2 linked regions of the Canis lupus familiaris genome follow. The protein of the gene in region 2 interacts with the protein of the main gene of each other region in a biochemical or structural test. Links are inferred from orthologs where the notes say so. Each region holds a gene or a part of one and is shown on either strand. Other genes may lie near its edges.

Region 1 (4,404 bases), about 10 Mb from region 2:
GCAAACAGCGCCGGCGCGGCCAGCACGCGCCTAGTCCCGCCTACCCGGGGGCGCAGACGCCACGGGACGGTCCCGCCCCCCGAGCCCTGCGCCCGGCTGCGCCTGCGCACGCTAGCTGCTCGGGGCCGCGCGCGGCGGTCCCACCGCTATCCCGCCTGCGCGTGCGTGCTGTCCGCTGCTGCGTGTCCCGCCGGGAGCGCTCCTAGGCGCTTGCGGGCCCGGACCCCGGGGCGGCGGGACCTGGGTCCCCTGGGGGCGCAGGCGGGGTGGGGGGAGGGCAGCGAGGGCACTGGAAGCCGTTTATTCTCTTTTATTGAAGTCTAAGCGGGTCTTGAGCGGAAAGAAGAGCCCAGAGGAGTGAAGGCAGGCCAACCCTAGGGCGCACGCTTGACCCACGCTCCCCGGCCGCCCAGCCCAGCCCACAGGGGCCCCCACGCCGGCGGGCGGACAGCACGAAAGGCAAAACTTGGCACCACCCGAGGGAGGAGTGTGGCTGCACGGGGAGCGTCGTCGTCGGGCGCCTAACAAGCACCCCCTCCCCCGGAGATCGTGGTGGAAACCGGGGCGCCCCACAGCCGGGGAGGGGAGTGGGGGGTGAGGCTGCTTGTGCGGCGAGGAGGCAGCGGGTACCTGGGGACAGGTGTGGCCTGGGGAGCCACGAGTCTTTCCGAGTGGAGGGAGGCTGCGTGGACGTCTGCCAGCAGGCAGGCGGACTCTCCCAGGCTGCCGCTAGGTGGTGGTGCTGTTCTGGAAGCCTTCCAGTGGGACCCAAAGTGGGTCTAGACACGGCCTGGCATTGCCCGCCGCCACCCCTACCTCCCCCAAGAATATGGGGCTGGATGGGGGACAAAAGCAAGATGTTACACCTCTTTAATATCCGTGAAAGCGAAGTCTAGAAGGTGAGGGCGCGATGAGGCAAAGGGAGGAAGGGAGATGGATGAGCCGTCCAACCCAGGGTTGAGGTCAAACCCAGAAGAGGCCTCTGCTCCTGTTAGCTCGTGGCTGTGTCCAGTATTACCCACCCTCGTCTTCCGAGCTCAAAACCACCATCCGTATCATAATCACAGTTTCACAAACCCCAGGAAGGTTCCATGCGGAGAGAGGCTAAGTTTCGCCCTTCCCCGGGGGATTGTGACACTCAGAATATCGCCCTGGTGCAGGTGGAAGACACCTGAGAAACGGGAGAAGATACACACTAGGTGAAGCACAGTCCTGCGGTGGACCCTCTGGTGCCTCCCCTCCCTTCTCCAGCTCAGCCTTCCTCCTGCTTCCTGGCCAGCATCCCCCAGATCCACCTCTGCACCGGGCTTCCAGGCCCCGCTCCCCCTGGCCTGGTGGCCTGGTCATTAACCCCCCTGGGGTCAGAGCCGCCCTCTGTGCCCACAGGCCTCTCACCCGCACTGTAGCAGCTATTGTAGGCCCAGTCGGGGTTGGAGGGCATGCTTCGGATACATCGGAAGAGAGTCTCCTGCCTTCCCTGGCCCTCCCGAGACACCACCTGACCCATGGTGAAAGTCACATCATGAAACAGGACCTGGCAGGGAATGGAGGAGAAGCTGAAGGAAGTGAGAAAGTAGGGCTCAGTACTGGGAGGCTCGGGAGCCTGGACAGGGGAGCCAAGGAATGAAGGAGGGTCTTCCAAGTGCTGTGAACAGAGGGTTTGGGAACCCTCAGGACCAGGGCATCCAAGTCCTGGGAGAACAGACCTCCTGGCCCCCAGGCAAGGCTTAGGGTATGTGTGGGATTACCTGGCTATACAGCAGATAAATTCCAGAGTCCCAGACTCGAACAACATATCCTTGGGCCTCCAGACCTCTCCCACGCTTAAGAGCCGGTTGCCACATCACCTCTGTCACATCAGAGTCCTCTGGAGGTGAGGAGTGTGGCAGTCAGGAGTTGTGCACGTTCTCAGAGACTTTTCACCTCCAGGATTCTCTCAAGCTCAGGTGCCAGCTCCAAAGTTCCCCGACCTGGCCCCTCCCCCAAAGCCATTATTTAAAACAGTGCTCACCCTTGGAGGTGATATTGATGGGGACAAGGTGCAGAACCGAGTGCTTCTCTGAGGAGAGAAGGAGGAGATCTAAGCAGCCCCGTCCCCCTGTGATCAGCCCTCCACCCTCACCCTGGCTCAGGGCAACAATCTCGAGGTCCCCATGCTGCTTGATCACCTCCCACCCCTGCTGCACCCCGGAGGCCTCACTCTTCTGTTTATGGATGAGTGCAGCTCTCTTTCTCCGGGATCTCTCCCCATTCTCCCAGGCTTCCAGGGCATCAGGGCTCTGCTCATGGGAAGAGGGTCAGGGTTAGGCTAAGAAGCAAGGGCCCCCAACAGTTCTTCCTCCCGGCCGCCCCTCCACGCCCACCCCTGCCCCCGCCCCAGGAGCGCCTCACATCACTCCTGCACTTTTCCCCAGCGACCTGAGTCTTGGCGCTGGCTGTCCTCCAGGATCTGGTAGACATGAGAAGCATTAATCTTTAACAATTTCCTTTCCTGGAATGGCTGCTCCCTTGACCTCCAAACCTGGGACCCTCTCTTGCACCTACTCAAAACTTTACAGACCGGGAGGCTAGACCCAAGAGGCCCCGACCCAGCCCTGCCACCCATCCTCAGCTCCCCTCACTCACCTGCTCCTGGAGGCTCAGCCATGGATACCCTTCCTCCTTCTCAGAGGGCCCTCCAGTCCTCTGCAGCCGAGCCACCTCTCTCCTTAGATTTTGCAGCTCTGTTTGTTGGGTCAGCAGGGCCATGGCACAAGCCACGGCCCCCAGAGCTGCCCCCCAACTCAACCAGAGGGCGACTGAGAGTGCCGGCTCTCGGACTGGGCCCCCCATGTCTCCTGGGGGCCCTTTGGGGGCTAGCAAGGAAGGAGATGAGGCTGGCATGAGCTGGGGACCCTGCCGAAGGCTGTGGCCTCAGGAGTGGGGTGGCGAGGAGGTGGTGGGAAGGGTGGGGGTACAGAAGGGAAGAGGAGCGTTACGCAAGGGAGGAATAAAAAGGAACTTGAGAATGAAAAAAGGGAGGAGGAGAGCCAGCAAGGGGCACTGTTGGTGCTCCTGGCACCCCGCCGTGGGGCCAGTGTTGTGTTGAGACGCCCCCTCCTCCAGCGTCAGGAGAACTCGGTGTCAGTCTCTCTAGGAAGGACAGGACTGCCAGTGACACCCAGGAGGAGCGGCCGGAGCATAGGAATCCTGGGACGGCCCCAGAAGTGGGGGAGGGAAGGTTGGCTGGCTACGGGGCATGGTGCCAAGAGCAGGGATGGAGGGACAAGCTGGGCAGCCTTGGGGGTCACGGGTGAGGGCGGGAGACCCTCTGGCTCAGACACCCCAGAGATCCTCGGACAAGTCGGCCAGGAATGACTGAAGGTGGAAAAGGAGAGGAGGGGGGCAGATGGGAAGGAGAACCAGGGTCGCGGAAGCAAGAGACGGGCTGAGTTCTGGGGTTAAGGCCAGGCCGGGTGTGTTGGAATAAGGCCTGTACTACTCCCTGTGCTGAACTTGGCAAGCAGGACTTCCTGTTTCCCGAGAAAAGCTCTTACATAAGGCTCTGGTCAGAGAGAGAAAGAGAAAGCCCCAAGCACCCTACCACTGTAGGATTCCTGCCCTGGCCCCTGGGGTGCAGGTTCTCATATTCCTGGGCCCCAGCGTCCTGCCGACTGACCCTGGGCTCCCCTTGGGGCCTGCTCCCACCCCACAGGCCGCCAGGCTTATGCCAGCACCTGCTGAATGTCCCGAAGCTGCCAAGAGGAAGGGCTCCTGCTCCTCCCAGCCTGGGATTACCTGCAGGAGGAAGCCGGCCTCCTAGGTAAATGAGGTAGCTGCTGCTGGACCTTGGGCAGATTGATTTTTTTTTCCTGGCAGCTTGCCTTTTCAGTCTCTGCTCATGCCTCAGGGGTCAGAGGCATGTGGGTCTCCACTCCTGGGCCTGTACCTTGCCCTGGCATCCTGCACTCCACTCCTAGGTACCCAGGCCCCCTTCCCATGGAGCCCCCAGCTCCTCTGAGCGATGTTCCCCACACCCCAGTAAAGAGAGAGACTGTGGTTTATTCTCTTTAATATCCACTTATTGACATCTTGTCACAATAATAATAAAAATAATATCTGTTTTAAAAATCCACAGGGAAGGAGCTCATCCTGTTCTCAGCCCTCGCGTATGGGAACTCCCGGCCTCCGTGTCCCAGTCGCCCTGGCGTCTAGCCCTGATTAGTGCCTGAAGTGGGGGGAGGTTAGGGACCCATTCTCACCCAGAATAGACACAGTGTCCTTTGGCTGGTGTTGGGGGGGAGGGGGGGTGGCGGGGGTTGGCCAAGAGTTAGGAAGTCAGGAGATAAATGGGGGCTTCAAAAGACCAGGGGTTCAGGGGCCAGTGAGGTGGAGGATGGGGGTGTCAGAGGGGAAGAGGATTAT
Region 2 (4,102 bases):
TCTAAGAGCAGCAAACAGCAGTCAGAATCTACAATCTCAATATTTGTAGAACAAGGTCCTTATTGCCCATCTAGGGGACCAGCAATATGAGCAACTCTGCCCCACCCCACCCCCCGCCACTGCATACGTGAGGAATGGTAGCCACCACCATGAAATAGGCTGAAATGCACCAAAATTTCAAAAATTCACCAGTCTCTTCATCCAGCTCTTTCCTGGATAAGTTCAGAGTTCCAAAACAGTTACTTCAAGATGGTTGCTGCCAGCTTGATAGCTGTTAGGTGGAAAAGCAGATTACTAGAGCTTCTACTCTACCATCTTCCTGGACATTGCTCTCACATCCCAGTTTTGATTTGAGATGTCCATTGACGTCCTCACAAAACTCTGTGGATAACCTGCTTATTGTCAAAAAAGATTTTAGAATCTGCTCTTAATTTCTGGTTCCCCTAAATTCTATGATGATGGGTCATGGCTTGAGATTTTATTATATCAGACATCTGACTGGCTCTTTGAATCTGGAAGCTATGTCTTTGAAATCTGTTTTCTCTAGAATTCCCATTAGTTCAACCTTTGAACCTCTTGAAATAATTCCATAATTTTCATGTCTTTTCTCTCCCTATTGTCTCTCTTGGCTCCCAGTATGTTCTTTCTGCTTGTTTTGTTTGAGTTCTCTTTCAGATCAGGTGGCTCTTGATTCACAGCTCAGACTGAGGCAGAAAGAGCTGATTGGAAGTTCTGGGTAAACAAACAGGGCCGTTAATAAAGCAGCTTTGCTGTCAGATGGTCAAGGAGCAAACTTGATCATTTTCTTGAGAGAATCTCCCAGTCAGTGCCTTTAGGCCTCTTCCTTTGGATCAGTTTTCTCAGAATCTGCTGATTTCCTGCTGGCTGCAGGATGGGGAAGGAGACATTCTTAAAAACCTGGCCACAGCACTCCTCAGGTTGTGTTTTGGGGAGAGTGGACCTTATGGCTACCCTCAGCTGTGTCTCAGAAGACCCCCAAACTTTTGCTTGGTTTTTCCAGAGGCCATTACATGCTTGGGATGGGATTTACCTGGGGTCAGGCCCTCTTTGTATAAATTTCCAACCAGTCTTTCTTCCATTGTCTTGCCTTGCCATTCCCCACTGTCATTAAACTTGGTACCTCCAATTCCAGAGACTTCCTGGAGTTCTGTGGCTCAAATCAGCTTCCTTGTCCCTGAGACCTTTAACTAAAGTCAGTCATCCCAGGTCACATGCCTTCCATATTCCAAAGTATTGCTCACACCTGTCCCCTGCTGCAATAACTTTTTTCCATTCTCTTTCTCTTTGAGGACAGGTATCTTTTCTTCTCCTTTTAGTAGGGTTTCAGGAGGGAAGAAAGATAAGTCCATGTGTTTAAGCTGCTACATTAAACCAGGAGCCACTGGTCTTCTCCCAGCTTACTTTCAATGAAGAGTAAGCAAGCACCTTGCAAAATGTTTAAAAGGAGACATTTGGGGGTATGCCTGGGTGGCTTAGTCAATTAAGCATCTGCCTTCAGCTCAGGGTACAATCTCAGGGTCCTGATATCTGGCTCTTTGTCCTCCCTGATCAACGGGGGGCCTGCTTCTCCCTCTCCCCCACTTGTGTTCTCTTGCTCACTTGCTCTCTCAAATAAATAAATAAATCCATTAAAATATTGAAAAACTGGGCAGCCTGGGTGGCTCAGCGGTTTAGCGCCGACTTCAGCCCAAGGTGTGATCTTAGAGACCCAGGATCTAGTCCCACGTTGGGCTCCCTGTATGGAGCCTGCTTCTCCCTCTGCCTGTGTCTGTGTCTCTCAATCTCTCTCTGTGTCTCTCATGAATAAATAAATAAATAAAATATTTTTTAAAAATTGAAAAATTAAAAACTTCCGTCACATGAAGTTAAACTTTAAAAAAAAAAACAAAGGAAACATTTTTGGTGAAGCAAGTATCATGAAATCAGGCAGAAAATTATAGAAAAAGTGATGCATTCATATAAAGGAAGACTTAGCATACAAAACAAATGACTGATGGAGCCTCAACTGAGATGTGTTTCAGATATCTTGTGGCGCCAACAAAACAGGACACAAAGGTTCAAGAATGGGCAATAGTAACAACCGACAGTGATAAAAATCAGAGTACAAGTTACCTCTGGAAGTATTGGATGGGGAGGAGACCCAAGGGAGTCTTCAGGGTGCAAAAAATATCTATACCTTATACCTTGATGTGGGCTGTAGTGACACAGGTATATACATATGGAAAAATACATCAAGCTGCATACTTCAGATTTGTGCACTTTACACACATCATTGAGTGTGTCTCGTACTTCAGTAAAAAAGAAAAAATGGAAGAAAAGGACATTTATTGAATGCTTTCTGTACGCTAGCCACTGGCTAGATATGCTTTTCTTTTTCTTCACTTAATGAGCACCTACTATGTCCTGGGCACTATCTAGGTTCTGAGGACCCAGCAGTGAACAAAAAAATTAGAGTACTTGCCTGCATGATGCTCACAGATAATGGGGGAGACAGCATCCAATAGTCACAGTTATAAAAGTGAAGTGAAAGCGGTGACAAGTGAAGGACACATCACTGCACAGAAGAAGTGGTGTGTCTTAATCTGGGAAAGAGAATCAGGCTTTTCTGAGGAAATGAAATTGAAACAGTGATCTAAAGGATCAGGAGAAAATAGCCAGCAGAAGGGCAGGGAAGAAGAGCATTTTATGCAAAGGTACTGTGGTAGAAAGAACCACAGTAGGCAAAGAACAGGGCTGAGCAGGGCACAGGTAATCTGAGAGAGGGAGCCTCGAACAGCCATTTCACAAATACAGAAACTGAGGCTCGAGGGAATGAGGTGGCTGCCCCAGGCCCCCAGCAGATGCAGCTGGGGTTGGAAGCTAGCTTTGTCCGGTTCCTCCTCTGCTTGCTGAGACAAAGTAGAATGTGAGTGGGAGAGGCTATCTGTGTTCTGACCCGTAGCAGGGTGCCAGCTGCCCTCATGCTCCCTGCCTCTCAGCTCCACAGGGCCTGCGGATGGGGATGGCCATGGAGCCCTGCCCTGAAGAACAGTACTGGGATCCCCTGCTGAACATGTGCCTCTCTTGCAAACCCATCTGCAGCCATCAGATTCCTCGTACCTGTGCAGCATTCTGCAGTGAGTTCTGGGGCCTGAGCCCCATGGGCTGGATCACCCCTTCCTTCCCTCTAGAGGTCCCCCAGGCCCTATTGCGCTTGGGTGGCTGAGAAGGAGATGGTAGAAGGAGATGTAGAACATGGCACCTCTTTACCCCTCAATCTTTCTGCTCTGGCTACACTAGCCTCCTTGCAGTTTCTTGAACATGCTGTGGGGTTTTTTTTCTGCCTCAGGGCCTTTGCACATGTTGTACCCTATGCTTGGAATGCATTTCCCTGTTATTCTTCCCTCAGCTCCCTCTTACTCAACCTTCAGGTCTGAGGCCAAATGTCAGAAGTCTTACCTACCTGTCCAATAGAAATGAGGCCCTCCTTTGTTTTCCTCTGTTCTGACTTTCTTTTGAAATTTTTTATTATAGGAATTATTGCAGAAAGGATAGCATAATAAATCCATTTCTGCCAATCATCAGCTTTAAAAATCTGCTGTTTTATTCCCCAACCATTTTTTTGCTGGTATAGTGTAAAGTAAATCCAAGAATTCATATAATTTTACCTGTAAATACTAGATCATGAAGAGCCTTCAAAATACAACCTTTATCTCTTATCATCCCCGGCAATAATTCCTTAACACCCTCTGTATTCAGGCTATATCCAATTTTCTCTGATTGTCTTGAAAAAGATATTTTGTCTACTGTTCTTTTTTCATAACTTATTCTTTTCCTTGATGGAACTTCCCATGATTTGCGTAACGTTCTTTTGTGTGCATTTGTTTCATGTCTGTCTTGACCCTTTGGACCGCAAGTTCCTTTCCTTATTTGAATCTTGCACAATGCCTGACACATAGTGAGTGATTCATCAATACTGATTGAGTGGAGTTCAGAGAGGCTGAGTGACTTGCCCAAGCTCACACAGTGTAACAGTGGATTTAAACCAGGACTCTCTGACTTCAAAACCGTGACTCCGAACCACTATCCATTAATGAAGTGG

What was found. The genes of interacting proteins can lie anywhere in the genome.
Region 1: the proteins of TNFRSF13B (region 2) and TNFSF13 form a complex in vitro, tested with the Homo sapiens proteins (2 studies listed by BioGRID and IntAct). The link is inferred for Canis lupus familiaris from reciprocal best matches to the Homo sapiens genes TNFRSF13B and TNFSF13.

What each region holds. Positions count from the first base shown.
Region 1 is NC_049226.1:32,689,929-32,694,332, reverse strand, and holds TNFSF13 (tumor necrosis factor ligand superfamily member 13), read right to left. Parts: upstream 2,909-4,404; 5' UTR 2,884-2,908; coding exon 2,626-2,883; intron 2,280-2,625; coding exon 2,201-2,279; intron 2,060-2,200; coding exon 2,012-2,059; intron 1,868-2,011; coding exon 1,749-1,867; intron 1,535-1,748; coding exon 1,396-1,534; intron 1,172-1,395; coding exon 1,062-1,171; 3' UTR 841-1,061; downstream 1-840. UniProt on the Homo sapiens protein: Cytokine that binds to TNFRSF13B/TACI and to TNFRSF17/BCMA. Plays a role in the regulation of tumor cell growth. May be involved in monocyte/macrophage-mediated immunological processes.
Region 2 is NC_049226.1:42,679,965-42,684,066, forward strand, and holds part of TNFRSF13B (tumor necrosis factor receptor superfamily member 13B), read left to right. Parts: intron 1-2,999; coding exon 3,000-3,137; intron 3,138-4,102. UniProt on the Homo sapiens protein: Receptor for TNFSF13/APRIL and TNFSF13B/TALL1/BAFF/BLYS that binds both ligands with similar high affinity. Mediates calcineurin-dependent activation of NF-AT, as well as activation of NF-kappa-B and AP-1.